Regions from separate parts of the Mus musculus genome. Here all the other regions are reported to be linked to region 2. The links are microRNA targets in miRTarBase. Many come from high-throughput screens and were not tested one by one. Region 2 holds a microRNA gene; each other region holds the end of a gene's coding sequence.
Evidence for each region. The annotated mature microRNA mmu-miR-876-5p reads UGGAUUUCUCUGUGAAUCACUA and lies in region 2 at 1,473-1,494, opposite strand. An mRNA with a match to its seed (bases 2 to 7 or 8) in the 3' UTR can be bound and repressed. Matches are read on the target gene's strand: a 7mer-m8 pairs with bases 2 to 8, a 7mer-A1 pairs with bases 2 to 7 and ends in A, and an 8mer does both.

Region 1: the mRNA of Nmrk2 is a reported target of mmu-miR-876-5p. Seed matches in the 3' UTR shown: 8mer at 2,797-2,804.
Region 3: the mRNA of Slc3a2 is a reported target of mmu-miR-876-5p. Seed matches in the 3' UTR shown: 8mer at 1,154-1,161.
Region 4: miRTarBase lists Exoc8 as a target of mmu-miR-876-5p. Seed matches in the 3' UTR shown: 7mer-m8 at 1,906-1,912.
Region 5: miRTarBase lists Bpnt1 as a target of mmu-miR-876-5p. Seed matches in the 3' UTR shown: 7mer-m8 at 3,026-3,032.
Region 6: miRTarBase lists Luc7l2 as a target of mmu-miR-876-5p. The part of its 3' UTR that is shown has no 7-base or 8-base seed match.
Region 7: the mRNA of B2m is a reported target of mmu-miR-876-5p. Seed matches in the 3' UTR shown: 7mer-A1 at 2,822-2,828.

The regions. Positions count from the first base shown.
Region 1 is chr10:81,195,801-81,199,868 of GRCm38, forward strand. It overlaps Nmrk2 (nicotinamide riboside kinase 2), which reads right to left. Exons shown (of 7, transcript NM_027120.2): 6 at 3,804-3,910; 7 at 2,370-3,646. The coding sequence ends at 3,561. All of the region lies in intron 1 of Atcayos (ataxia, cerebellar, Cayman type, opposite strand), which reads left to right. Among named protein-coding and RNA genes, the nearest start is that of Atcayos, 3.1 kb to the left of the region's middle.
Region 2 is chr4:36,643,950-36,648,017 of GRCm38, forward strand. It overlaps Mir876 (microRNA 876), which reads right to left and starts at 1,504; the gene lies at 1,424-1,504. All of the region lies in intron 2 of Lingo2 (leucine rich repeat and Ig domain containing 2), which reads right to left.
Region 3 is chr19:8,704,425-8,708,492 of GRCm38, reverse strand. It overlaps Slc3a2 (solute carrier family 3 (activators of dibasic and neutral amino acid transport), member 2), which reads left to right. Exons shown (of 9, transcript NM_008577.4): 8 at 216-299; 9 at 399-1,611. The coding sequence ends at 770. Among named protein-coding and RNA genes, the nearest start is that of Slc3a2, 7.4 kb to the left of the region's middle.
Region 4 is chr8:124,891,694-124,895,761 of GRCm38, reverse strand. Exoc8 (exocyst complex component 8) reads left to right here. Exons shown (of 1, transcript NM_198103.2): 1 at 1-4,068. The coding sequence ends at 286. Among named protein-coding and RNA genes, the nearest start is that of Exoc8, 4.0 kb to the left of the region's middle.
Region 5 is chr1:185,356,165-185,360,232 of GRCm38, reverse strand. It overlaps Bpnt1 (3'(2'), 5'-bisphosphate nucleotidase 1), which reads right to left. Exons shown (of 9, transcript NM_011794.3): 9 at 2,464-3,755. The coding sequence ends at 3,607. Among named protein-coding and RNA genes, the nearest start is that of Eprs, 4.8 kb to the left of the region's middle.
Region 6 is chr6:38,607,676-38,611,743 of GRCm38, forward strand. It overlaps Luc7l2 (LUC7-like 2 (S. cerevisiae)), which reads left to right. Exons shown (of 10, transcript NM_138680.3): 10 at 478-1,795. The coding sequence ends at 655. Among named protein-coding and RNA genes, the nearest start is that of Klrg2, 28 kb to the right of the region's middle.
Region 7 is chr2:122,151,456-122,155,510 of GRCm38, reverse strand. B2m (beta-2 microglobulin) reads right to left here. Exons shown (of 4, transcript NM_009735.3): 3 at 3,836-3,864; 4 at 2,429-2,860. The coding sequence ends at 3,851. The region is part of intron 2 of Patl2 (protein associated with topoisomerase II homolog 2 (yeast)); the gene reads left to right. Among named protein-coding and RNA genes, the nearest start is that of B2m, 5.8 kb to the right of the region's middle.

The sequences.
Region 1 (4,068 bases), not on the chromosome of region 2:
AGCTGAGAATCTGGTTCGGTGGATAAAGTGTTTGTCTCGAGTGCGTGGGGACCTTGGTCAGAATCCCTAGGACTCAACTCAACTGAGGCACAGCAGTGTCTGTATGGAGTCTGGAAATCCAGCCAGGCAGGGGACCTTATGCTCTGCTAGGTCCCACAGGCCAAGTTCTTCAGGATCTGGGGACAATAGAGCTGAGGGGTCAGCCACGAGGCCCCACTGCTGGCTCTGGGGCTTGTGAGTGTCCCTATCAGCACGGTAACCCATACGGGAGACAGAGGAACCTTGAGCTCATTTTGTGGGGATGTCTGGCTGGGTGTTCTGTGTGGGGCATTCTGGAAGGTGCTGAGTAGTGTCCCACTCTGTGTCTGGAGCTCCCCCAATGTGACACTTGTCCCCAGCCCCCACCGAGAACCTTCACGAGGACACAATCACCAACCTGAGGTTTTTGTTTGTTTGTTTGTTGAGACAGAGTCTCATGTAGCTCCAACTCACTATGTAGCCACAGATGACCTTGAAATTTTGATCCTCCTGCCTCCACCTCCAAGTGAGTGCTGGGTTGGTAGATATGTCAGAATGCCCAGCTCTAATCCACCTTTTTTTGTGACAGACCTTGGACAAGGGACTCCATCTTCCCTGAGCCTCAGTATTCTTAGCCATGTAGAGGAATCCATTTTATACACTGTTCCTCTGGGCGTCAATGTCAGGGTGTCCTGTGTCTGTCCTGGACCGTCCTATGGCCCAGTTAGGGATGCTGGTAATGTCTGGAGTGTTTGTGGGGGAGCTTGCTTCTCTCTGAGTGGGTGGGAGAGGCACACGTCACTAACAGAGGCCAGCAGAGGCCTCGGCTTGGCCAGCTTGCTAGGAGAAGGTTGGGGTAGGCAGGTGACCCTGGAACCTTCTGTCCCTCTGGAAAGGCTTCGAGGGGCTTTCCCCAGCATGCTAGGACCCAAAGGAGGCCCCAAGGGCAGGGCTTCTTGGCAAGGCTCTGCTTGACAGACAGAACACGGGTCAGAAACCTACCTCTTCTGAGTCATCCCAGGCCTCTGGAACACGCAATAAACCCATCCCGACACAGGTGCACCCGCCTGGTGAGCCGAGGGTGGGGTCCCTGAGGACATGGGATGTTCTGGGGAGACTGGGCAAGCCAGTGACTCTGATGCTGGTCCCAGCATTTAAAATGTTCATATTACATTGGTGTGTACATGTGTGTGTGTGGGGGGGGCACGTGAACATGCCACAGCACATGTGTAGAGGTCAGTGGATACCTTGTAGGAATGGTTTCCTTCTTCTCCCATAAGGGCCTTGAAGATGGAACTCATGTCATCAGACTTGGCAGCAAGCTCCTTTACCTACTGGGCCCTCTTGCTGCCCCCAGTTTATTTTTTACTTTTTTTTTTCATTAGGTGTATAGATATTTTGCCTGCATTTTTGTCTGTGTACCACATGTGTGCAGTACCCACAGGGGCCGGAAAGATGTCCTCTGGAGCTGGAATTACAAGTGCATGTGAGCCACCCTGAGGGTGTTGGAGACTGATTCCCGTCCTCTGCAAGAGCAGCCACTGAGCCATCCTTCCAGCCCCAAGTTCATTCTTTATTCTATGAATCATGTCTACGGTGCCTGAGTGGCCAGGCTCTGGCTGCCTTGAAGTCATCTCCCTTATGTCCCTGTCTCATGCTGAACTATTTTGGGGGACGTGACCAGCAGATGAGTCTGGCCACAGTTGTGCCTGGGACAAAGGCCTGGGTTTGGCAAGCATAAACCCTGTTCCAGTCCTGTGCTTTCAGCCTCTGCTTAACCTTGACGCTGCGACCCTACAGGGAAGCTCCTCACGTTGGTCACAGGACTTCTACAGCTGGGGAGATGACAGATGTCTGCATTGCTACCTGTGGGTGTGGGGACACCCCACATCTGTCACGCAGAAGGCAGGTCTCACTAATATTGATTGGGGCAGCATGACAAGAGAAATAGAAATGAGTACAGGAGCCCCATCCCAAAGCAAAACAAAATACCCTTAAGTTTGAAGGTAAAACTCAAGTGTTAGAAAGTGGAATTCAAGAGCCAGACGTTGATAGCACACGCCTTTAACCCCACACTCTGAAGGGAAGCAGACAGATCTCTGATTTCAAGGCCAGAGTGAATTCCAGGACAGCCAGGGCTACACAGAGAAACCTTGTCTCAGGGGAAAAGGAAAGGAAAGAAAAGGATAGGAAAAAAAGAAAACGAATTTTATAATTTATTGTATTTTTTTATATTATTTTATGTGTGGGTGGAGCTGATACTAAAATCTAGTTCCCTAATTGGTTCTTGATTTGGTCAATAAAGAAGGTGGAAACCAGTAGGTCCCAGGCAAAAGAAGAAGCATGTTTTTAAAATTACAAGCAACAATTTTATTTTCAAAGTCTTATGTAGACAAGGAGGCTTCAGACTTGTTATTTAGCAGAACACTACTACTCAGTCACTCGTCCATCCATCTGTCCGTCCGTCCGTCGGTCCATCCATCCATCAATCCACCCATTAATCCATCCATCCACTCATCTACTATAGCATTTTTCTATATGTAATTGGGATTCTGTCATTGCAATTCCACAGATGGCCATTAGGTGTCACCCTCAGGCCAAAGAATAAAATCTCTGAAGCCGACTCTCCTCCACATCTACATTCCAGCACCACCGAAATGTTCTGCTCAGAGCCTCAGTTTTCCCTTTTATGAAGTCCACACAAGTAATAAAAAACACACCGAGCTGGGCAATGGTGGCACACGCCTTTAATCCCAGCACTTGGGAGGCAGAGGCAGGTGGATTTCTGAGTTTGAGGCCAGACTGGTCTACAGAGTGAGTTCCAGGACAGCCAGAGCTATAAAGAGAAACCCTGTCTCGAAAAACAAAACAAAAAACAAAAAACAAAAAAACAAAAAAAAATCACACTGAGACTGTCACCATGGTTCAGGGGGTGTATGGTTGTGTGTGAGAGGAGACAGGTATGCTGGTTGCAGGACAGGCAGCATGTGTTGTGTGTGTGTATTTAGGAGATTCCAAATAACCCTATAGAGTGAGACTTGGCTTTGGTTTCCGAAAGAAGTAGAGGGAGGCTCAGATGAGAGAAGAAAGATCTCAGGAATCCCTCGGGAACTCTCTAGAATTCCATCCTATTTAGGCAGAGAAGCTTTCTAGCTGGACACACCAACTTACTGTGTAATTCTGAGTACCAAAGGTGACCTCTCTGTGCCTGTCTACATTAGGGTAGATGTTGTTTCTCCTTACCCAAGTTCATGAGGAATGTCTCCTTTAGGGAAACTGAGGCACATCAACAAGGTTACCCACAGAGGCCACCAGGTGCCAGTAAAGGGTCTGAGAGAGGTTCACCTCATAGGGACCATACAGGACGCCAGGTTAAAAAACAGAGTCCACTTTAATGTTGAGGTGCTAGAAAATCTCACAGTGTCCGTGCCCACTGCACGTGTGTGGGGACATGCCCTCCTATGTACAGATTTCCTATAGGCGAAGAGCCACTGCGTCCAGTCAGAACATCTCAGGCCCTGCTGTCCAGGACCTGCGTCTTGCTAGGATGTGTTGAGCAGTCTGTTTTGAATATCCTCCAGAACTTGATGGAAGAGTCCCTCCGGGGACTTCATGCCATCTAAATAGACTGAAACCGGAAAGGGACTGGGTCAGGACTGGTAGGGAGAGCAGTGTGGACTCTCTCAGGACAGGAAAGAGCAGCAGGAGAGCCCGGGATGGGATTCAATGGGATGTAGGGAAGCCTGGGGTTTAGAGCATTGGCAGAGCCTCATTCTGGTTCTTACCCACTTCCACCCCGTCCTGCTCCATCTCCCGTCTATACTTCTGGTACATGGGCCACACGTGACCATCAAACAGGCCAGGAGGATCAGGGACCATGTAAGTACGGCTTCTGTAGAGAGAAAGGAGTTCCAGGCCTGTCGTGGGAAGTTGTTGCTCAAGGCAGACTGCAAGTAATCAGCAGACAGGCTCTGGATGAAGGATTAGATAGATCCCTGGGCAAAGGCTGTGGCTGTGGGATTCTCAACTTCCACATTTTTTCCCCACCAT
Region 2 (4,068 bases):
AATCCTGTTCATTATCATTTAGGAATGTAATGGTGTCACAAGAAATCGGAGATAAATACAATCTATCACTACGAAAATCTTGTTGCCATATGACTGAGCTTAGATTACACCTAAGTTCTAGCCTTCAAATAGAAGAGCTCATATACCAAAACTAAACAAAATTTTTGGAGCTTATACCAGCGATTGAAAAACTAATGGTGAAAGGTTGGGTTTCTGTTTCTAGAATCAGCACATTTAACAACACTAATGAGGGTAATAACCATGAACTTCCTGTTGTTTCCCAGCAACTGGTAGGTAACATGATAGCAACTATACTCTTTAGCCTTGTGAAACTTACTCATTTTAAAGATTATTCTAACACTATGAGTATGTATATGAGTGCATCTGTGTGTGGGAACATGCACATTAGTGTAAGGTCCAACATAGGCCAATAGAGAGTGATAGAGAGTGTCAGATCTCTTCAGCTGAACTTATTGGTTTCTGTGATGCATATGATGCAGGTGTGCAGCAAATTGTACCCTGGTTCTCTTGATGCACAATCCAAGTTCTCAAACATTGACGATGGCTTTAGACTCTTACTAAATTTCTTTGCCATTAAAAGATGACAGAAGCTAAATTTGTAGAGAATTAATGATAAATAATGGCAAATTAAGTATACAATTTTGTATATTTTGGCTAATTCTGTGTCTGTATCATTTGAATAGTATTAAAATTTAGTTACTTTTAAAATTATTTTAAAATAATGATGTTTATAAATTCCCTGATTAATTTCTATTTGAATTGCATAATCAGTAAAGTCACTGGATAAGCTCTCTGTAAAAATGTTTCCTCTTTATTAATATATATATATATATATATATATATATATTTGTCCAAGTAATAGTAACAGAATTAAATTTCAAAATGTTTCACTTATAATTAATGGGTGCAGATGTCAATTCAGTGCTTTTGTTTTGGATCTACTGCATTTTTAAAAATAGGGCATACTGCCAATTGTTGGGGCAGGTGTTGCTAAAAAAAACAAGAACAGACTGTGCATAAATGTAAAATACACACACACACACAAACACACACACACATATATATGTGTGTGTGTATATATATATATATATACATATATATATATATATATATATATATATATATATATATATATGAGATATGAGATGGCCTGGCAATATGTAATAGGCAGTCCTCAAATGCTGCCATCCTCCTGCCTCAGCTTCTCAGGTGTTATATTACAAGCAAGTTACAATATATGTAGCTTAATTTTCCAGTGCTTGACATATCTTTGCTTCTTGTTCTCTAATTAACAAAGTAACTGTTTATGAAAGGTTTAAATCTTATAGCTTAAGGATTTGTTCTCAATGGCCCAATGAAGGATCCTAGGTTTCAAAATACAGATCAACTGTAGGAGCACCTGTGAAGCACTATGAATTACTTTGTAAACCACTACCACACTAGATTTGATATAGTGATTCACAGAGAAATCCATAGCACGTGACAGTTTATGTAATGCTTGTACACATGAACATAAAAATTATATGCTACCATGCCCAGAGTTTGAAAAATTATTCAAGACATCTTTTTATCGTTCATATGGCATTAAAATATAATTTAATTTAATTTTAACAACATTTGAGCAAGAGAATAAACATTCATGAATCAACAGGTTTTATATATATAGTATTATAATATATACATTTTTAATTGGTAAAATAATAAGAAACACTGAAAAAATCTGAAAAATACATAAAACCAAATTATACTTTCCGTATTATGTATCAAGGTAGATCAATTAGAGGAATGAGCAAGAACAACCAAGAGATGAAAGAGAAGTAAAATGCCCACTATGCTCATAGAATTGAGATATGGATATTAATATAACCTGTGGGAGGAGAGAAGTAAAATAAGGAATGACATTTCATACGTGCATCTCACATTACAACATACACATGATGTGGTTGTTTTGCTCTAAAAATAGTCTCAGTTAGCCTACATGTATTTTGCATAAGTTCTTAGATTTTATCTGATTTTTTTTCTATCTTAAGTTTGAGTTCTGCATGTGATTGGCTGAAACTCTCTGAGGCTACTTAAATATATGTTAGTTTCCTCACTAGGTTCAGCTTTGAGAAACAAAACAAAACAAAACACCAAAGTAACTGAAAAAAATCTCTAATGGGCACTGCTTTAATAAATTCACAGGAATGAAACATCTTTCGTTTTTCTCCTTTGTTATGTTTGCTTCAATGGTAACATTTATCTAAAGATTTAAAAGAAAACTAGAATTTTAATTTATGATCATTAAAAAGAAAATAATTTTTAAATTTTAATGGACTAGGATTATATCTCTCAGGCCATCTATGGATTTGAGAATTTTGACTTTTTGTATGTATACCATGAATGTCAATAATAATTAACATACAATATTTTTCAGAAATTTGCAAATCTAACATCTTAGTGTGTTCAAAACTGTCACTACATATCACTGTGCATTCCCAAGTAAAACAGGGAAGTAAGGCCAGACTGGCTGGCTAAGCAAGGAAAAACTTTAAGTGGAAAATAAATTGTAAAATTATTTACACATTCATATATACTTACCGTATGGCTGGTATATGACGTACATAATGCTTGCCAGGTATAAGGAAGTAAATGCAAACCCAATACATACCCTAGCTTCAAGAAACAGATAAAACAAAATAAATAAAACCAACAAGAACAATTGTGTTCCTTAAAAAGGGTCCACATAGATTGCTTTAGAGTCCACATTATCCAGTCATAGCAGGAGGTTTCTGTGAGAAATTACTTAGTTGAAAAATTGAAGGTACAATACAATTTAGCAATGAGGATAGGATTAGAACATTTGAAGCAGACGGGGCACATTAAAAACAGTAGAAAGAAGAAATTAAAATGTCATCTGTTCTCTGCTACACTACTGCTGAAAGTAGAAAATTACACAAAATTTAGATATAAGTGAAAACTAGCAAGCATGTCCAGATTGTAGACAACAAATGAGAGAAATTAGAAAATAAAGATACTAAGCAACATTAAGCCTGAGAAATGTGCATGACAGATGTGCATGGCAGATGTGCATGACAGATGTGCATGGGAGATGTGTATGGCAGATGTGCATGGAGATGTGCATGACAGATGTGCATGGCAGATGTGCATAACAGATGTGCATGGCAGATGTGCATAACAGATGTGCATGGCAGATGTGTATGCCAGATGTGCATGGCAGATGTGCATGGCAGATGTGCATGGCAGATGTGCATGGCAGATGTGCATGACAGATGTGTATGGCAGATGTGCATGGAGATGTGCATGACAGATGTGCATGGCAGATGTGCATAACAGATGTGCATGGCAGATGTGTATGCCAGATGTGCATGGCAGATGTGCATGGCAGATGTGCATGGCAGATGTGCATGGCAGATGTGCATGACAGTTGTACATGATAGAGAAACAGCTGTGTGGAAAGGCCCTAGGATTCAAGGAACATTGTGACACTCAGAACCAAACTGGCCCAGAAGAAATCTCCTGAGAAATCAGGCAAATTTCCTTTTGAGCTTCACGTTGAGTGGATGAAATACACTCAGAAGTCAAGGAAGATTTGAAAACAGATAATTGTGAGGCCACAGACTTTCCAAACATCCAGGAATGAGCTCAAGCTACAGTGAGTAAAGGAGGATTTCTGAGGGTTAGATAAATTCTAGCATTCCCAGAAACTAGTTCACAGCTATTAAAGGAAACATTTCCCTTACCTATGGCAGATGAGACATATGGGTACAGGGAAATATATCCATGGTGCCTATTAGCTTATCAAAGCCCATGCTGGCCTCTGTGTTCCTTCTGTACCACAAGTACATTTCAACATGCATGCTATAGATCTCACAATGTCCAATCTGGTTTTCTTTCTCTCTGTTACAGACTCTTCAAGATAGATCCAGATGTTTTCTCTCTCATATCTATAATTGAAACCCTCCCTAATAATAGAGTTGCCAACTCAGCATTTTCTTTCATCACCTGAGGAATCAGGCTAATTTTCTGTTTGAGCTTCACTATACC
Region 3 (4,068 bases), not on the chromosome of region 2:
GGGAACTGAAGCTTGGTGAGAGTCTGGACAAGCAGAAAGGTACATCTTGTAGTGGTGACCAGATGAGGTCCTGTCCCGGGGCCATGCCACAAAGGCATCATACCTGCAGAACCAGCAGAGAACAACACAAAATGATGAAATGGAAAGAGAATGGGAGGAAGGGGAATGGACCCACCCTTTTTTTTTTTTTAAGTCCCACATTCTCTGTTTGTTAGCCTGCGAAGGCCCCACTCATGCCGTGGAATGAGTCCAGCATCTTTCACATCCCAAGACCTGTAAGCCTCAACATGACAGTGAAGGTAAGCAGTTGAGGCCTGCCCCTCAGGGTGGGCAGGTGCTGTACAGATGGACAGAGATCCCCCTCATTCCTTCCTTCTGTGTGTGTCTATCATTTTCAGGGCCAGAATGAAGACCCTGGCTCCCTCCTTACCCAGTTCCGGCGGCTGAGTGACCTTCGGGGTAAGGAGCGCTCTCTGTTGCACGGTGACTTCCATGCACTGTCTTCCTCACCTGACCTCTTCTCCTACATACGACACTGGGACCAGAATGAGCGTTACCTGGTGGTGCTCAACTTCCGAGATTCGGGCCGGTCAGCCAGGCTAGGGGCCTCCAACCTCCCTGCTGGCATAAGCCTGCCAGCCAGCGCTAAACTTTTGCTTAGTACCGACAGTGCCCGGCAAAGCCGTGAGGAGGACACCTCCCTGAAGCTGGAAAACCTGAGCCTGAATCCTTATGAGGGCTTGCTGTTACAGTTCCCCTTTGTGGCCTGATCCTTCCTATGCAGAACCTACCACCCTCCTTTGTTCTCCCCAGGCCTTTTGGATTCTAGTCTTCCTCTCCTTGTTTTTAAACTTTTGCAGATTACATACGAATTCTTATACTGGGTGTTTTTGTCTTCAAATAAAAACATCACCCCTGCCTCATGAGATTGTGACTTTCATCCTTCCTTCCTTCTAGAAGAACTTTCTCTTGCTCCTGATCTCTTTTGCTCCTCCCTGCCCCTGCCATAGTCGCAGCCAGTTGTAGACAGCTATTCCAGCTCTCTTTTTTTTTTTTTTTTTTTTTTTTTTTTTGGTTTTTCGAGACAGGGTTTCTCTGTATAGCCCTGGCTGTCCTGGAACTCACTTTGTAGACCAGGCTGGCCTCGAACTCAGAAATCCACCTGCCTCTGCCTCCCAAGTGCTGGGATTAAAGGCGTGCGCCACCACGCCCGGCCGCTATTCCAGCTCTTAAATTAATCATTTAGAGACCAAGGCTAGAGAAGGGCCCTTCCATGGTTAACAGCAAAGTGTCTTGGCTGGAGTAACCACACCTCCTCGCTCTGGCCCAAGAATCTTGGGAATTGCCAACTCTTCCTTATCTCTCTTAGCACAGTCTTTAAGAAAAAGGGTGGGGTGAGTTGAAGACTGCATACTGCCAAGGGCCTGGGGCTTCCCTTCTTTACTCTTTGGTGAGGCACTTACCATATAGACAGGACTGCGATCCCCAGTACCCAGTGGATACCCCATCTCCAGAAAAAGCCAACAAGACAAACCCTTTGCTTCCTTAGGCTATGTTATCTCTTGTGTGGAAATGGAGAAGAAATAAGGAATAAACATTTTTTGTATGAAGGATATGGATGAGTGATCAAAAAGGAAAAGGAGCTGGAGAGATGGCTCAGAGGTTAAGAGCACTGGCTGCTCTTGTAGAGGCTGCCAGGTTCAGTTCCCAGCATCCACACGGCTCACAACGATCGTTTACTCCTAGTCTTGGGATCAACACCCACTTCTAGTTTTGCAGGCACCAGGCTTGCATTTGGTATACAAGTATAAGCACAGGCAAAGCACACATACATAAGAAGGAAAAAGCAAAACTAGAAAGATGTTTTTGAGAGCAGGTTTGGGCTTGAGAGCAGGAGACGGTTCAAACAAGAGAGGTGAGTTAACTCATGAATGTGGCCCAGTCCCAAGTCATAAACAGGTTATACTGTTACAGTGTCCGAAGTTAGACATGGGGTGGGTCTGGAGAGGATATTGGTTATACGAATGAGAGCATGGTTGATGCTCAGGAAGCAGGAGTAAATGAGTAAGGAACGAAGGTTATTCAGCAAGGGGTGGGCAGATCACAAAGGGTTTCATAAGGCAGTCAGAGGTGCACAGTTTGGTAGGCTCTGCGGGTCTGTGGGACTATCCTAAAAGCAGTTGCAAGCCACTGTCTGACTAGCTCCCTCAGGTTGGCTATGTGCTAAGATGAGTCACAGGATCGTTTATTAGTGAAAGGACAATGAGCTGAAGGAAGAACTACATAGGCAGAGCCTGAGGGGGCAGAGCCTGGGGGGGCAGAGCCGGGGGGGGGGCAGAGCCTGGGGGGGCAGAGGGGGGGGTATAGGAAGGTTTCTCTTCTCCCAGTACCTGCCTTAGCCATAAATGGTACCAAGAAGCAGGAAACTCACTTGAGCCTTAGGTGACCAGAGTTTTGGATTATCTCTAAGAGTTTCAGTGGAGCCAAGAATGAGGAATGATGAACTGACCCTCCTGCCTCTACCTGTTAGAATCACAGGCATGCCTCAATCTGCCTTCCTTGTTCCTGTTTCTTGTTTTCTTTTTGAGGCAGTGTCTAGCAATGTAGTCCAGACTGTCTTCAAATTTATAGCAATCTCCCCTCAGTCTTCTGAGTACTGGGATCACAACGTGCATCACCAAGCCCTCTTTCCTTAGAGTAATCCTATCAACCATGTGGCTAACCTAGTTTCCAGCCCTGCCAGAGGCTCTGGAGCAATACTTTAAGGCCATTTCCCAAAGAGGTTGAATGCTCCATGCCTCACTACGGCAGCCTAGTTGATACCCACCAAACAACTCCTAAGACAAAACCTAGCAGCCTAGAAATGATCTTGAAGCTAAGGACAAAGGCCAGACTTACAAGCAAGAGTCATTCAGAACTGTACATAGTGTCAGAAGGAGTGCAATAGGCGTTGTGGGCCTGGTTTTAGCAGGCTTGATGTGTGATTAGTGGAGGAGAAGGGAGGTAGCTGAGGCAGGTTTGGGACTGTGATGAAGGATATGTCTATGGAGGAGGAAGTCAGTGGAGGAGGTGGTGGCATCATGCATTGACTCTGCAGGCCAGTTCGCAGGATTTATTGTCCTTTTGTCAGCCAGTGATTTTTTTTCTTTTTTTTAAAGTGGGCCCCATAGGCCTTAGTGTTAACTTTGCCTTCAAAGTCTTAGGAACAAGAACCTGGTGGATATTTTGGCTCTCCTAGCCTTGGGGAAAAGAACACGTTGGACCCTGTGTGTAGGCTCTACAGCAGGCTGGAACTTGCTGTGGCCTGGGCCTCTGAGGGTATTCTGGTGTAGAGGACAGATCCAAGCTACTAAAAGACCTAACTAAGATCCAGCCTTTGTTTCTTCATCTTGCTCAGTGACAGAGCCTGAGCCTTTGAGAGGAGTCCATACTGACTCCCGCTCTGAAGACATACACCGCTCTCCCTCCCAGCCCCATTTACCCCCTGGCTTTTGTCTCTTGTGGACCTCTTCCTGAGGCTGCCCACCCCTTCCCTCTGTTTACTTTCCTAGATCCTCCCCCCCATCTTCCCTCTCTCCTCTTCTTTGCTGCCTAGTTGTTTCTTTCTTTTTCTTTCTTTTTCTTTTTCTTTTTCTTTTTCTTTTTCTTTTTCTTTTTCTTTTTCTTTTTCTTTTTTTTTTTTTTGTTTCTGGGCTAAGCTCTAACTATGTAGCCCTGGCTGGAATGCATACAGATATTCCTGCTTCCCCTTCCCTTGTGGAACCGCCAAAGCTATCGCCCAGGGGATCCATTTTGACCCAGATTTTACTGTGAAATATTGTGGTGTTATTTTCTGATTATTTTAAAAGTTCTTTTACTTTTTATTTTTACTTTTTTATGCATGTACTTTATAGATTAGAGAGGTGTCTTGGCAAGTAAGAGCACTTTCTGCTCTTGCAGAAGACTTGGGTTCAGTTTCTAGTTCAGTTTCCAAATGGTGGCTCACCCATAGCTCCAGGTCCAGGCTCTCCAGTGCGCTCTTCTGACCGCTACAGGTACCAGACACATACGCAGTACACAATACATAAA
Region 4 (4,068 bases), not on the chromosome of region 2:
ATTGAAACTGTACTTCCCTGAGCTCCACATGGTGCTCCTGGAGAGCCTGGTAGAAATCATCCTGGTGGCTGTGCAGCATGTGGACTACAGCCTGCGCTGTGAGCAGGACCCCGAGAAGAAGGCCTTCATCAGGCAGAACGCATCCTTTCTCTATGAAACTGTCCTCCCGGTGGTGGAGAGGAGGTTTGAGGAAGGTGTGGGGAAGCCCGCCAAGCAGCTGCAGGACCTCCGGAACGCATCCCGGCTCCTGCGGGTGAATCCCGAGAGCACGACTTCTGTGGTCTGAGGCTCTGCTCTGTGTCTTTGTGTGTGTACGTGTACACGTGCTACAGATGCGTCATTTGTATTTACATTACACAATGTCAGCACATTCCTCAGAGACACAGACAGCATATAAAAGTGCCCTCTGAAAAATGCAGTCAAAAGGAGAAAGATAATGTGTTAAGCATCACATACAACCCCCCAATACTGGGACTGTCAAGAGCACATACCATGTCTTGCTCTGTTTTTTAATAATTCTTTAAGTAGAGTGTATGGTCACACCAGAACATTTCAGGCTACTCTTTAACTTGAAAGACACTTCTCACGTTAGCACATCTAGGAGCAGTGCACTTCCATGCTGCCTAGAAAAATATTAGGTCCACAGGGTTTAAGTATGTTGTAAAACATTCCAAGTCAACAAAATGGCTTCGTAATGGTCAGTGCTGTGTGACACACCTGTGTCCTGTACTGAGACAGATCAACATGAAAAGAAATGAGTTGGGAAAACTGGTTTGGGATAAATTTCAATATGTGGGCCTCAGGTCTGTCAGTATTTGTAGCATGTGGAAGGAAGCCTTTATAAAACTTTGCAGGCATCCAAAAGTCACTGAAAAGTAGCATGTTCCATGGCTAATTGGATGCATCTTTTTGGGGGAGGTGGGAGAATCACAAGGACTACGTTGAATTTTTAACATATTCCAGAACTGAATGGATTTGCTGCTGCAGCGTGTTTTGCCATGTTCAGGAAGTAAGTCTTGCTGAAAAGCCACACCAAGGATCCTAGCAGTAGGCGGGTAAGTGACTCCAGCCCCTGCAGACACTTCACCACCAGCCTGGGTTTGGAGGCACTGAGACTTCTGGCAAATGCAGAACTCCCTGTCTGAGAAGAGTTCAGGCTGTGTGTAGGTTAGGAGTTTTAAAAAAAAGAATGCAATGTCACTCCTTAAGAATGCCAGAGATTTGGTTTTGGTCATTTTGTTTTCTTGAGATAAGTTTCAGCCCAGACTGGTTTTGGGCTGGTGCTGTAACCAAGGATGACCTTGAATTTCTAATCCTGACTCCACATCCCAAGGGCTGGGATTACAGGAATGTGCCATAATGCTATTTATGCTGTGTTGGAGAAAAAAAACCCTGGCTTTCTCATACTAGGCAAGCACCCTACCCACTGCTACACCTGCTGCCCTGATGGTTTTTGAAACTTAGTAACTGAGTAGAGATGCACATACCTCAAGCACAGGGAAGGGACCTTCTGTGACTCTTCAAATGCTGTGCTGCATTTTAAAAAACAAGAGCCTGGCATGCTGGTGCACACTTTTAATCAGAGCACTGGGAGGCAGGAGCAAGCGGATCTCTGAGTTCAAGGCCAGCCTGATCAACAAGGTGAATTTCAGGACAGCCAGGGATCTGTAGAGACCCTGCCTTAAAAACAACTTTTAAGAGAATTCCAGATTGTAATACTTACTTCAGGTTGTTGAGTAGGGATAGGTGGGTAGGTGGAGCCCCTAAGCTTTTATTTTTTTTTCTTTTTCTTTTTTTGGTTTTTTTTTTGTTTTTTTGTTTTGTTTTTTGTTTTTTCAAGGGTTTCTCTGTATAGCCTTGGCTGTACTGAAACTCACTCTGTAGACCAGGCTATCCTTGAACTCAGAAATCCTCCTGCCTCTGCCTCTGCCTCCCAAGTGCTGGGATCAAAGGCATGCGCCACCATGCCCGGCTTGCCCCTGATTTCTAAAGTGAGCTCTGCTCTGATCACTTAATGTCCTGTTAGAATGTGGGTGCTGAAACCCATTTTCCCACTAGCTTGTAGCTGTGGGTTTTGTCAACGATGCCATGTTTTTATGTCCATTGGGTCTAAAGGCTATTTCTTGTCTCTTGAATAAAAGAGGTAGTAGTAAGCCATAAAATGATGTAAAACCCTAAATGGCTTCTGCAGTGATTCAGGGTTGTTAAGACTCCTCAGCTTCATTAACTCATCAGGCCAGCAGTTTCTCTGTCTTTTTCTAGCTCTCCATGCATAGAAAGATCGCAGAGGTCACCACTGCAGCCTTCCACTTTCCCATGTTAGGGTTTGTTGATTTAAATCAACAATGAAGACCAAGCGGGTCTTGAACTCACAGAGGTCATCCTGCCTCTGCCTCCTGAGTGCTGGGATTAAATTATGCTCCACTATGCCTTGCTAAGTTAGAGTTTTCTACATAACCATAACTGGATGTCCCAGCCAAACAAATGTACTCATTTCTCTTAAGCTCACTGGACTTGGATTTGATGAAATTGTGTGGCTGCGATGCCGATTTGGTGCCACTTGGAATTTAATAGATAAACCGTGCATAAGGCCTCGAGGTGTAAGAAGGCTAACATGTTTCCCCACATAATAAATGGCTGTATCTTTATGGAAATGGAAGTAGAGAACTTTATTCTGCTAAGAACGGGCTAATGTGTTCCTCTGTGTAGCTGAGGGAATGCAGTCTGGGAAATCTGCAGGAAGCTTGAAGGATTGTCTAGCAGTGGTAGTTCCACACATGCTGACGTGCTGTGACATTAACCACCTTTTGTTTGCTTTAAAACTAACTGCATAGACCAGGAATCACAGACTGGGTTAATTTCAGTTAGAGAATTCAGCCTCTGATGAGAGCCTCCTGTCATGAAATGCTCAAAGTCATTGCTGTGACTTTGGTATTACCGTGATTGCCAGCACATTCATCCTGCACCTGGTATTAGTTAGGGCTAAGCAGCTGGGGCTTGCTGCAGATGCAAGCATTGCTGAACACTACACTTTGATGTACTGTGAGAAACAACCTTTAAACTGATAAAGCTTTATAGCATTCTCACTGGATAGAACTGATTGCTATAACATTCTGTTTATTTACTTGTTTTGAGACGGGTCTCACTCTAGTCCTCTGCCTCCTGAGTGCTGGGATTAAAGACATGCTCAGCTAGGTGTGGTGACACACAGTTTTTATTCCAGAATTGCAGAGGCAGAAGCAAGAGGATCTTTCGGTAGCCAGGGTTACCTAGTGAGACAGACCCTGTCTGAGAGAGAGAGCCAGGCCTCTCGGCACACCCTTTAATCCCCAGCACTTGGGAAGAAGCAGGCAGATCTGAGTTTGAGGCCAGCCTTGTCTACATAATGAATTCCAGGACAACTAGGACTACATAGATGCTGTTACCACAAAAAAAAAAAAAAAAAAAAAAAAAAAAAAAAAAACCAGAGAACTGGAGAGATGGCTTAGTGGTTAAGAGCACTGGCTGCTCTTCTAGAAGTCCTGAGTTCAATTCCCAGGAACCACATGGTGGCTTAAAAAGAAAACAAGCAAACAAAAAATAACATTTGCTGCTCTCGAGGGCAGGCTCAGGATTAGTACGCAAAATCATTAGTCCACTTTCAGCAAATGACACCTTCTGGCCTTGGGTACTGCACACGTGTTCATACACAATGTAAAAAATCTTTGAAAACTTGTAGTAAAAGTTATACGTATGGATAGATTGTGTGCGCAATATAAGCCTTTCCTTGCTTATCTTGTTTATGGGAATACATGTATAAAGTTCATGTCTAGCTAGGTGCTGCTATGCCAAACCAGGCCCTTTTTGTTGTTACATACATTAACCCATCTACTGTGTCCTGCAGATGTCTCCAACGGTAGTGTTTCTCCTGGCCTTTTAGCTCCTCTGGTGGCAGACTTGACTGTGGCAGAAGGAATTGTCTTATGCATCCAGGTCCCTCTTGTCACGGTTTTGATACAGGAACCACCATGTCAGATGTCCATGGTCCACTTCTTGGCCACAGGAGCATTAAACTTGGTGTGCTGGCTG
Region 5 (4,068 bases), not on the chromosome of region 2:
AGCAAGAAAGAAAATAAATGAAAACAAAATAGAATGAAGCAGTGATGATCAGATGTGGTGGAGTTACAAAACATGTGGTTTTGTCAAATTAGAGTGGGAGCAAGACAGAAGGACTGTTTAGAAACAACGTGGGGGAGGGGAGACTATAAGACATCAAAGTAGGCCTTAAGAGTGGAGGTCTAGCTTGTCAGTTTTGTTGTATGTTTGAGGCAGGTTCTTACAACATAGCAAAAGTGGGCCTCAGTCTTAGAATCCTCCTGCTTCAGCCTCTGGTGTACCAAGATGGCAAATGTGTACCACCATACTAGGCTTAGAGTTTGAGCATTTTAATCCAAATACATATTGTGTGTTTATTGTTGTTAGTTTCAGGCAGGATGATATTGTTGCCAGAGTTGGTCTCACAGAATCTTCAGCACTCTAAGTCGAGCATAAGCTACTGAGAATTCGTTGAGCTCTACATTTGTACGTCTGGGCAAAGACCTTATGTGAAGTCGTTTATTTGGAGGTATCAGATAATCTACTGAGAAAGTGGAAAGCCAGGAGTACAACCTCAGCCAACAGTGACATCTGAGGGAAGGAAGACAAGGAGAGAGCAAAATGACTGAGGGCAAGCAGCTAGAAGGGAGAGAACGAAAATCAGGAGTTACGAGAGGGAGTGATCAAATCCTTCGAAGCCACAGATATGCCTTCCTGTTACTAGATCCTGACAGTCCTATAAAAAAGCCATGGATGTAATCCCAGTGAGCAATACAGTAATTATCCCAAGATCAGCATAAAATGTAATTACTTTTAATTTTTGTGTATGTATGCATGCCTGCATAAGTTATGTGTGACATGTGTGCAGGTGCCTTAAAGGGAGGGAGGGTGTCAAACCCTCTGGAACTGGAGTTGCAGGAGATAGTGAGCTGCCTCTTAATGTGTGCTGGGAACCAAATCCAGATCCTCTCTAGAGCAACAAGGACTCTTAACCCCTAACCTATCTGTCCAGCCCCACCCCCTTTTTTTAAAGAACAGTGTCTCCCTGTATTACTTAGACTTGAACTCTTCATCCTCCTGTATCCTTCCTAAGTTATTGCAATCACAGGCAAAGCCACATGCCCAATGTAGCCTTTTTTTTTGGTTTAAAGATTTATTTATTTTATGTATGTGAGTACAGTGTCATTTTCTTCAGACACAACAGAAGAGGGTACCAGATCTTGTTACAGATGGTTGTGAGCCACCATGTGGTTGTTGGGAATTGAACTCAGGACCTATGGAAGAGCAGTCAGTGCTCTTAAACCTCTGAACTATCTCTCCAGCCCCAAAAGCAGCTTTCTGAAAGCAAAATCAACCAATCAACCAATCAATCAATCAATCAATCAATCAGAATTAGTGCATTGAAAAAAATTTTTCAGGTGAATCTGTCATGCAGTTGTTTTGGAGACTGCTGCTCTAGTAATTAAACCCAGGGCCTTAAACATTCTGAGTGTGCATTCTACTTGCTTCATCCAAAAGAACAGACAGAGACCAAAACAGTAAAAAAAAAAAAAAAAGCCATGGGGGGAGGATATAGTTTAGTTGGTAGAACATTGGACTGGTATGTACAAAGCCCTGGATTCAATATCCACAACTGGAAAAAAAAAGTGAAAAAAAAAAAACATTAAAGTAGGAGAGTGTATTAGGGCTTCTGTTAAGGATTGGAACAGTCAGAGGTCAGGGAGAATCAGGGTCAAACATGACCGCTACACTCATGAGCTCACAGCAGCTGAGGTTGCCTAAGACCCCACCAAAACCAAGATCAAGCCTGTTAACATTCCAGCTTGGCAGGGGAGGGGCATCTACCACCATCTCACGGCATGCTGACATTGATAGCTTCTGTAGGAGTAAAAGCTAGCTTTCTTTAAGGGTGCAGCTTCTGGTAGGCCGACTACACTCAGTGGATGACCACTTACCAGAGAACATGGACAGCAGAAACTAGACTTGGTCGTTACTGTAAGAAAAGGAAAAGAGGCTGGGAAGTGGTAAGAGGTGGAGTGGGTCTGGGAGAGGTTACAGGCGTGTGAACGTGGTTGTGGGAAGGAATGGCAATTATGATCGGCACAGACCTTTGCCTGAATGAAATACCCAAAGATTTGTGAACATCACATTTAAAGAAGACTCTTGTGTTGCTGTGACAAGTGCCAGAGGGAAAGATTTCAAGAAGGTTAGGGGTGGGGCTGCCAGGAGGGATGGTGGACAAAGCAGCTCACCTTACGGCAACCAGACAGCAGAAACAGAACCCGTGGCACTTGGCTTTCTCTGTCCCCTTTCATTCCATCCAGGCTCCAGCATAGGCGATAGTGCCGCCTACATTTCCAGCTCAGCTCATCCTTCCTGGGAGCCCTGTTTCCTGATGTAGGTAGGGCTTCTCAGTCTACTGAAGGTGACAATCAAACTGATTGTACATTCTCTCAGGGGAAGGAATAAAGGCAATTACCCAGCTTTCCAATTATAGATTTTAATAACAAGAGAATAAATTAATCCTCACATTATTTATAATTTTCAAATACTTTTGAAAAAAATCTGATATATAATATGAAAAGATAGGACTATGTATTTTAGAGAAACTTTCCCCCATAAATCAACATAAATAATATCATTATATGCATTCTTATTTGGAATCAGAAATTTTAAAAATTACTGTGAAAAAACAAAACAACTGAAATTCTGGAGTAACTTAAGACTCTGTGCCCTGAAGAAATCTGGTTTATCAGCAGGAATGTTGACTGCACAAATGACTTGGACAGTCATTTGAAACTAACCCTTTTTCATTTCTTCACTTAGAAATAGTAACATTTGAGCCAGGTGTGGTGGGGCAAGCCCTTAATCCCTGCACTAAGGAGGCAGAGGCAGGGGAATCTCTGAGTGCAAGGCCAACTTTGTCTACAGAGTGAGTTCCAGGACAGCTGGGGCTGCACAGAGAAACCCTGTCTCAAAAAAACAAAAACAATGCCGGCCGGTGGTGGCACACGCCTTTAATCCCAGCACTCGGGAGGCAGAGGCAGGCGGATTTCTGAGTTCAAGGCCAGCCTGGTCTACAAAGTGAGTTCCAGGACAGCCAGGGCTACACAGAGAAACCCTGTCTTGAAAACAAAAACAAAAAACAAAAAAATAAACAAACAAAACAAAACCCACAAACAAGCAAACAAACAAAAAGCCCAAACAACAAGAGAAAGGAAAAAAAAAAAAACAAAAAAACAAAAAAAAACAACTGGTCCTGTTAGCTAATTAGTAAAATTAAATTCCTTTTTTGTTTTCCTTCTCTGTGTTTAGGCATATCTTGCTATGTAATGGAGGCTAGGCTCAAGCAATCCTCTGATTCAACCACTGGAGTAGCTATGACTATTGTAAGTGCCACCACACCTGGCTAATTTGTTTTTAGGCAGGAGAAATGACAATCGTATCATATACTTAAGTCTTAAGCGTATTAGATGATGTGAAGAAAATTCTTTAATTCCATCTTCTATCCCTAACTACTAATAAATCGCTGATCAATGATAAATGCAGGCAGAGCTCCAATTGTTCAATTAGTAATCAGTATTAAGATGTGTTCCTTTGAACCAAGGCCTCTGGGTAAGTGAGACCCCTTCATGGAATGAGCGCATTTTTGACCGACTCTGGAACATGGCTTGCATAGTACTCGTAGTTCCTCAGTGCAGCCAGGACACCGGCAGAGTTCATATGTTTCACCTCCTTGTTGTACTGCAGGGCATTCCCATGGATGTCTGTCAACTTCCCTGCAGAAGAACATCACAGTCAGTGGACAGCTGGATCAGGATGTTTCGAGGGTCATTCTTTGGGGGACAGGATGGAGAGAACTAAACCCCAGGGCTCACACTAAGCACAGGTTTTACTACTGAACTATGTCAGCCTTCTTCTTTTGTTTTTATTTCTGAGAAAAAGTCTAAGTTGTGCAGGCTTGACGTAAGATCTCACTGTACGCTCATTCTAACGCCCTGGCTGACTTGGAACTTACTAGGGAGGTTACTCCTGAACTTGCAGTGATCTTGCTTGTACCTCAGGAATTCTAGATCACAGGCCTATTCCACC
Region 6 (4,068 bases), not on the chromosome of region 2:
GGATGGTTTTGCATTTCTGTCATTTTTAAAGTTGATAGAAAAGAATAACTCATACACCCTGATCTTGTAATTTACAACACTTCAAATCCTTATTTAGCACAAGAGATGACTGCTGTACAAATTCATTGGTTTCCATCCAATTTGGAATCTTGATACTTTTCACTTATAAAAGCAATTACTTATATATTGTTTTTATACTAAATGCCTTTTTATTAGTTGAAGAAACTTTATCTCTGAAATACTAAGAATACATTGTTTAGTTTAGGCTCTTTTGCCCTTAACTGTATAGCTATTTGTTCTTCCCAATTTTGTTTTGGTGCCCTTTTCAGCTGTATAGTAGGACTCTATTCTATAAGAAACTCTCTTCTCAGATATATTCTTACCTATTTCTTCAGCTATCAGAAAATATTGATCCTATTCTTTCATTGGATTTTGGGTGTCCCAACATATTTTGCTCCTCAAATTAATATTTTTCAGATCCTCAAAAGAAAGATTCAGAGATCAAGACTTAGCATCACGTGACAGAGACAGGAGTTCAAGAGACAGATCACCTCGTGACCGAGATCGAAAAGATAAGAAGCGGTCCTATGAGAGTGCTAATGGCAGATCAGAAGACAGGAGGAGCTCTGAAGAGCGTGAAGCAGGGGAGATCTAACTAGCTGTGTACATATCTTCAATCCTTAAGCTTCCCATGGAGTTACATGCTATTGTTTATAGTTGTAAAGGGTGACAGTTCTAGACACCGATCCAGTCAGACTAGATGTATAGTATCCAATGATTTGAACTGAACCTGTTTTCCTTCATAAAGCCTAAAACTACATCCATAGTTTTTTGTGAACCTGAACATAACAGTTTATATGATGAGATACTGTTCTCTATTCTTTCAAGTTAGGAGTGATAGTGAATGAATTGTGTTAATGTCTTGCAGTTTTTGAACATTTGTAAAATATTGTCTTCTTTTCTATTCCAAACAGCAGCAGCTTTAGGATTTTTTTTTTCCATTATAATTCTTCTTCCTTTGACTTTTATATCTCCTGATACCTGTTCCTCCAACTATAAGAGGAGAGGGTGAAGGGAAGTATTGTAACTTCTTTTCTAAGGTTCTGTTCACGTTGGTTATTAGTTGATTACAGTTGAGCATTTCTACTGGATTGTGTGCTGGAGACATTTAAACACGGGGCTGTTTTGTTAGGGGCCTATAGAGTTGGAAGTTGAACAGCTGTTGCATTACATACTTTTGCTTTTATATTGAAAATTTGAAATCAGACTTGCCTTGATTTTTTTTTTTTTTTTTTGTTCTAAGAAACTGCTATGTTCAGTATATTGAGGGGGGTGGGGGGGCAGGGACTATTTCATAATAGCACTTGTGTGTGTGTGTGTGTGTGTGTGTGTGTGTGTGTGTGTGTGTAGAGTTTAAAGACTATAATTGTAAAAAAAATGAAAAGAATCATCACCACCACTGTAACTTGTTGATAGTAAGTTGCCACTAGAACTATTTGCTGTGGTTATTTTCTATTTTGTAACATCTTAACAGTGCCTTTCTGTATAAGGCACCAAAGGAAGTAAATATTTAACTCTGGATTTCAGATGAATTGTTGCTCCACCCAAATCTCTTGCTGCCTATACTATACTTCAGAGCTGTAGTGAGCAGCTTCTGTAAGGAAAGAGTGAACCTGTAGAAGCAACTAAGAGTTGCTTGGTTTGTATTTCTTAATTGACAAGCCTGAATAAAAACCATATGTAACCAACATACTGAAACAGCAGTTTCTGCATTAAAGATCTAATTACCTACTGACTACCTAGTAGTTAACAAACACCTTTTGTTCTTCTAGAATATAGGGGAAATAATATATTAACTAGTAAAGTTAGTATATATTAAGATCACTTTTTGAAGGGTAAGATCTCATGTAGTGCAAGCTGACCTAGAATTCACTGTGTTAACAGGGTATGACTTTGAACTCCTGACCTTTGATTGAGCCTTTGCCTCACTGCTCAAGATTATAGATGTGTACAATGAAACCCAGTTAAAATACTATTTCGGGGTGGTTGGTGGTGGAGGGCAGTTCCCAAAATTTAATGACAGGTATTTGACCGTTTGTGAATGTGAAAGAGCAGAAAAATAATGGCCATTTGTGTGATTATTCTTGAGTTTTAGAGATGAGATCTTGTTCATGTATCCTTGGCTTGCCTTGAATTGCAAACTTTTTGTCTCAGCCTTCTAAATATTGGGAACATAGGCACAGACCAGCGGGTGTAGTTTAAACTTTTTTTTTAACAGCAGAAAGGAACAAAAGCATGATAAATTATGCCCATTATCTCAGTGCTGATGCATTTGTGAGGCTGAGGCATGTGCTTGGCAAGTTTAAGGTCAGGTAGGGGCACTCCTGTTTCCAGTTTACCAAGTGAACACATTTATAAAAGACTGTCAGGAATGCCTGGGACAAAGCCAACATCTATGAAGGATAACTGTACGTGGTGTTGCCCTATTTCCAAAGCACCATTGTTACAGTCTTTTTTACTTTAACTTTTTCTTTTGAACTGAGAAAAACATGAAAAAAAATCAATTAGCAAAATTGGGGTGTGAGTTATATGTGTTTTAGGTTCCTGAATTTTCCCCCAAAGAAAGTGCAGTATAAATGACTTGAGGGCTGGATTGAAGCACTTCCATTTCCTGTTTGATGTCTCAGTTTCAGTTCCTAGCATTATGAAAATTATATTGTCAAAAGTTTTTGCTGCTGAGCAAGGCATGGTGAGTGCTCTGGTCCCACAATTGAGGGTAGTTCGGAAGCTAAGAGTGGATTTGGAGTTCAACACCAGCCTCAGCAGCTTGTAAGCCTTATACAAAGCACACTTGTAAAAGTGTGGTTTTTGAAATCACATAAAGGACCCATTTCAAAAATAGGCCTATAGTGAATCGAAGTCCAAATTCCAGTTTATAGAAAATAAGGTAAGTTCTAAATGTATGTTACTTTACAAAACAACTGGCTAATTTTTCTTCAAAAAGTCAAAGATTTAGGTTAACCAATAACTGTGTTTGTAGTCTAATTAGATCTAAAAGAGATTTTTGACTAGCTGGCCATGGTGTTTCATGCCTGTTATCTAGACACATGAAAGTCAGGAGAATTTCCATGATTCTGAGGCCAACTTGGGCTACAATAGAAAAACCCTGCCCTTTGGAGGAAAAAAGTAAGAAAAAATAGAGAAACTGAGAGATTATATAGACTGGAAAAAACTTGTTAACTTATATAATGATAAACTTGCACTACATTAAAAAAAACCTTATTTTTAGTATTTATGTGAGAGATGATATTTGGTACTTATTTCAAATGATGCAGTTAAATATCCACATACATATAAAAATAGTGTGTAATATGTTAAATATTAGAAGAGCTTTATGTATATTTTCAATTTTTTCTTTTTTTTTTTTTTTTTTTTTTGGTTTTTCAAGACAAGACAGGGTTTGTCTGTGTAGCCCTGCTGTCCTGGAACTTACTTTGTAGACCAGGCTGGCCTCGAACTCAGAAATCCACCTATCTCTGCCTCTGCCTCATGAATGCTGGGATTAAAGGCGTGCGCCACCACTGCCCGGCTATTTCTTAAGATTTTATATTTGAACCTTATCAGAATCACACTAATAGATAACACCAATGGACACATACACAAAAAGTACCTGAGACCATCAGCATTGAGACACCACTGCATACCTACTGAAATGGCCCACAGAGGGGCAGTATAGCAATATCAAGTGCTAGTGTAGGTGGTGAACAACTGGAACCCCCAAAAGGACTGAAAATGGCACAGCTGCTGCTTATAAATTAGGCATGTCCATAACACAGTTCAGTCGTCTTGCTGCCCAAGGGGGAAAAAAAACCAGGAGACTCCACAGATTTGTATTTGAATGCTTAAAGCAGTTGTGTTTATAGTAACCCCAAACCACAAATATTAGAAAGATCTATCAACCAGAAATCAGACTGCGGTGCATCCACACAATGGAAATAATTGCTAATGTATATAGCAATGAGTAACTTCATATACTCAACTGAAGGAGCTAGACCCAAAAGAGGACAC
Region 7 (4,055 bases), not on the chromosome of region 2:
AAAGGATCCACTTCCCCACATCTGTCACTCTGCAAGCTACCCTGAGGTCCTTTCCAAGGTGGAGGGTGGGGTTCATTCTCCCAGGTCCCTCACCCAGGTTCATCTTGAGCTCTTGGCTGCTGCAGGAAGCAGTCTTTGGAGGTGCAATTCTAGTCTTCTTTCCTTCTACTGAGTTCCCAGGCTTCCAGTGCAGTCTTGTTCTTGTGATGTCTCTGTGCGATGAACGTCTCTGCCTTTTCTCCAGGTTATGGAGGAACTTCCCATGAAGTTTCCCTATGCACCTTAAGCCCAGTAGTAACACAGCCACTTTCAGTCCTACTGAAACTTCACTAGCCAAACAGGATGAAACCTTCACAGAAGAAGAGACTGAAGATCAAACAATACACCTAGGACCCTAAGGAACTTTATCCCAGGAGGTTGCTGGGATAAATCATCTACATTCCATAAATATCATGTACTGGGGGCCTAGGAGGTGCCTCAGTCTTGGAGCTGAAGGACCTGGGTTCAGCCCTCATCCCAGAAAAGTTGAGTAAGGTGCTATGTGCCTCTCACCCTAGCACTGGAAAGGTGGTAACTAGAAGATCCCTGGGGCTGGATGGCCGGCTAAATCTCCAAGCTTGCCGTTCACTGTAACTCTGCCTCAAAATATAAGGTAGAGAGTGATAGCAACTGGAGAAGATATCCAGCAGCAACCCATCCTCTGATACATACATACATACATACATACATACATACATACATACATACATACATTCATGCACTCTCTCTCTCACACACACACACACACACATACACACATATCCCCCCATACAACACATGCACAACCCACATACACATGCACACACACATGAACATACATGCACCCCCTGCATGCATACCCTTACACAAGCATATATACATGCATGCTCCCTCCTCACACACAAACGTATACACACAAAAAAATAACTGGAAGGCTTAGCAGTTAAAAGTACTGGCTGCTCTTCCAGAGGACCCCGGTTGAGTTCCCAGCACCCACATGGTGGCTCACAGTCATCCATAACTCTCTAGTTCCAGGGGATGTGACTTCCTCCAGATGACCTCTTCTGAACTTCATAGGCAGTAAGCATGCATGTAGTGTACATATGTACATGTATCATACACAAAATTAAATGAATCTAAATTTACAATAATAACAGTTGTGTGAAATATAAATAAATAAATAAAGCTTTGTGATGCAAGATTGATTGTCCCACTTCTGGCTTATGGTTACTATTAATCAGTAATTGTTATAACAAAATACCTGATACAAGCTACTTAGTAAGAAGAGATTTACTTAAGAGTTTGGAAATTTCAAAATGTTAATGATAACCAAAGGTTCCTCTTTCCCACCGACAGCAACAGAAGACGTGCCTCAGGAAGGGCAGAAGAGGCCAGGCTTGCTGCCTTCCTTTTTTTTTTTTTTTTTTTGGGTTTTTTGAGACAGGGTTTCTTTGTATAGCCCTGGCTGTCCTGGAACTCACTCTGTAGACCAGGCTGGCCTCGAACTCAGAAATCCACCTGCCTCTGCCTCCCAAGTGCTGGGATTAAAGGCGTGTGCCACCACCGCCCGGTTGCTTGCTGCCTTTCTAACAGCCCTCTCAGAACTCAGACGGCTCCTTGTCCCTTGACAGGACCTCCCACCACACTCCTTCTTAGAGCCCTCACCACTTCTCATTATCACCACCCCCAGGGACTAGATCTCCAGCCACAAAAGGAGCTTTGGGGACACAATTAAACTCTCAAAATTAAGAGCTCAAGTCATGGATGTTATAGTAACTTTTGTAAGATTAGGATTCAAACTTAGTTCCAAATTGATTAGCATTCCCTCTTTAACATTAGCCAAAACTCTGAACTCAGAGTGGGGTTTTCAGACTGTGTGCTGTAGACCCAGCAGAATTTAACAGGAAACACAGTAGTCACCCATGCTCTACCTACATCCAGCAATAAGAACCAGTCCCTAGCTTTTGCATAATTTGCCACCAATAACCATAACTTGCACCCCATAACCATAACCTGCACCCCAAAGTATCTGGGCTTTCATCCTAGCATACAGTCCTGTGGAGCCAGCAACAAGCTGTGCACATCACCAAGACAAACTGTAAGATGTGATCTCTGCTCTAGAGCTCCCTGTGGGACCAGCACGTCTGAGATCCTCACTCCCCTCTCAGTTTCTTCCTATTATTCCCTGACCTTCATCACCACCTCCTACTGCTCTGCTTTGGAGGCCTTTCCTAGTCACTTTCCTCTCGACCCTTAGTTGAGGAGCCTGCTTCTGCAAGAACCTTCTAAGATACCCACTGCCTCTTTAGATGATGAAAAATACGCACGTGCTTGCAGGCATTTATGCTACCTAGAAACCACTTCATGTAACACTGGCAATGTCTGGCAACAATTTTTTTTTTTTTTTTTAGTTTTTTATTTTTAGTAAAAGTAACAAAAGCAGAAGTAGCCACAGGGTTGGGGGTGAGAATTGCTAAGCATTGGGCACAGTGACAGACTTCAATTAGGCCTCTTTGCTTTACCAAAAGGAAAGTATGTCACTTATGTTGTGATAGACCAAAGATGAGTAACTGCATCCAAGTAATGAGAAGTACAGAGGGTTTGGCATATGATCAACTATTGTTCTTAAAATTATATTTATTATTCTGATCAAAATACTTATTGAAGATTTATTGCTCAGCTATCTAGGATATTTCCAATTTTTTGAAAACATGCATAAAATATTTAAAGTAAGATATAAAGAAGGTGATGTGTACATTGCTATTTCTTTCTGCGTGCATAAATTGTATAGCATATTAGAAACTGGATTTGTAATTAAGCAGGTTCAAATGAATCTTCAGAGCTGAAAAGAAAAGGGGAAGGGAGGGAGAGAAGGAGAAGGTTAGCCGAACATTACATTATTTACATTCCAGACCTCACCATCAAATGAGTTTGTAGGACAATCACCTTCTTAAAGGAGGTGAGTTCTGGCTCCACCATTTGGTAACTGCTTGTCTGGGCAGATCACCCATCCCCACCCCCTTCATCAATTCCCCTTTCCTAGAAATAAATATAATACAAGATTTGAGTGAGCTTTTGGCCTCAAGGGCCCTGGATTTCACCGAAAAGCTGGATTTTCTACCACTAGACTCCACCTGACAGAGACACCCACGTTCCCTCTCACGCTCCTCAACTTCCTTCTGACACATCAGTGACGGTGCCTTACATGAAGTTACAACCCTGTCCATTTCTTTCCCTGAGTGTCCGGAAGCCTCCAGAAGGTAAATCTAGTGCCTACCAACTAGAGACTGAAAGGGCTAAGATGTACCCGCAGAGCTCTGTCACTCGGCTCCTCTGGGTGAGGAGCAAGGCCACTGCTGTACAAAGACAGCAAGCTCATCGTCCCAGGCCTTCTCAGCAGAACTGGCAGGGTTAAAACAGAAGGTCGGCAAACCCATGCAGGCTGTGTAACTGACCACCCGCCTGCCTACCTGCCTACCTGCCTACCTGCCTTGCTGCATGCACAAAGGTGCTGTTCTCCCTTTAGAGGGCCAGTGACATGGCTACGTTCCTCCTTCCTGCCAGTCCACAGGATAAAAGAATGTGACCCCAAAGGATCCTTCTGTAGCTGATCAAGCCACCCTAATTAATGTCTTTCATACAGTGATGCTTATCATGTTTGAGCTGTCTATAAACAGCTCCTAGGATAGTGAATCAAACAATTCTCTTCCTGCAGTGCTGGGACCAGGACTCAAGGCCTTATGCACGCTAGGCATGTGCTCTACCGCCAGCTCCACCCCACCCCCAAAGGCCCATTATTTAAAGTCAAGAAACCTACCATCATGATGCTTGATCACATGTCTCGATCTATGAAAAAAGAAAATGGAGACAAAACTTTACTTTTATACTACGACATATTAACAGACATCCAGGGGTTGTAAGCAGTAAGGCAGATAGACTAGGTTGCTGTTGCTAGCCTTGAGTACTTGTTGAGAACTTTCCAGAGATCCACTCCTGTCTACTAGCTTCTTGCCAAGGCCCTGGAACAGTCCAGAATT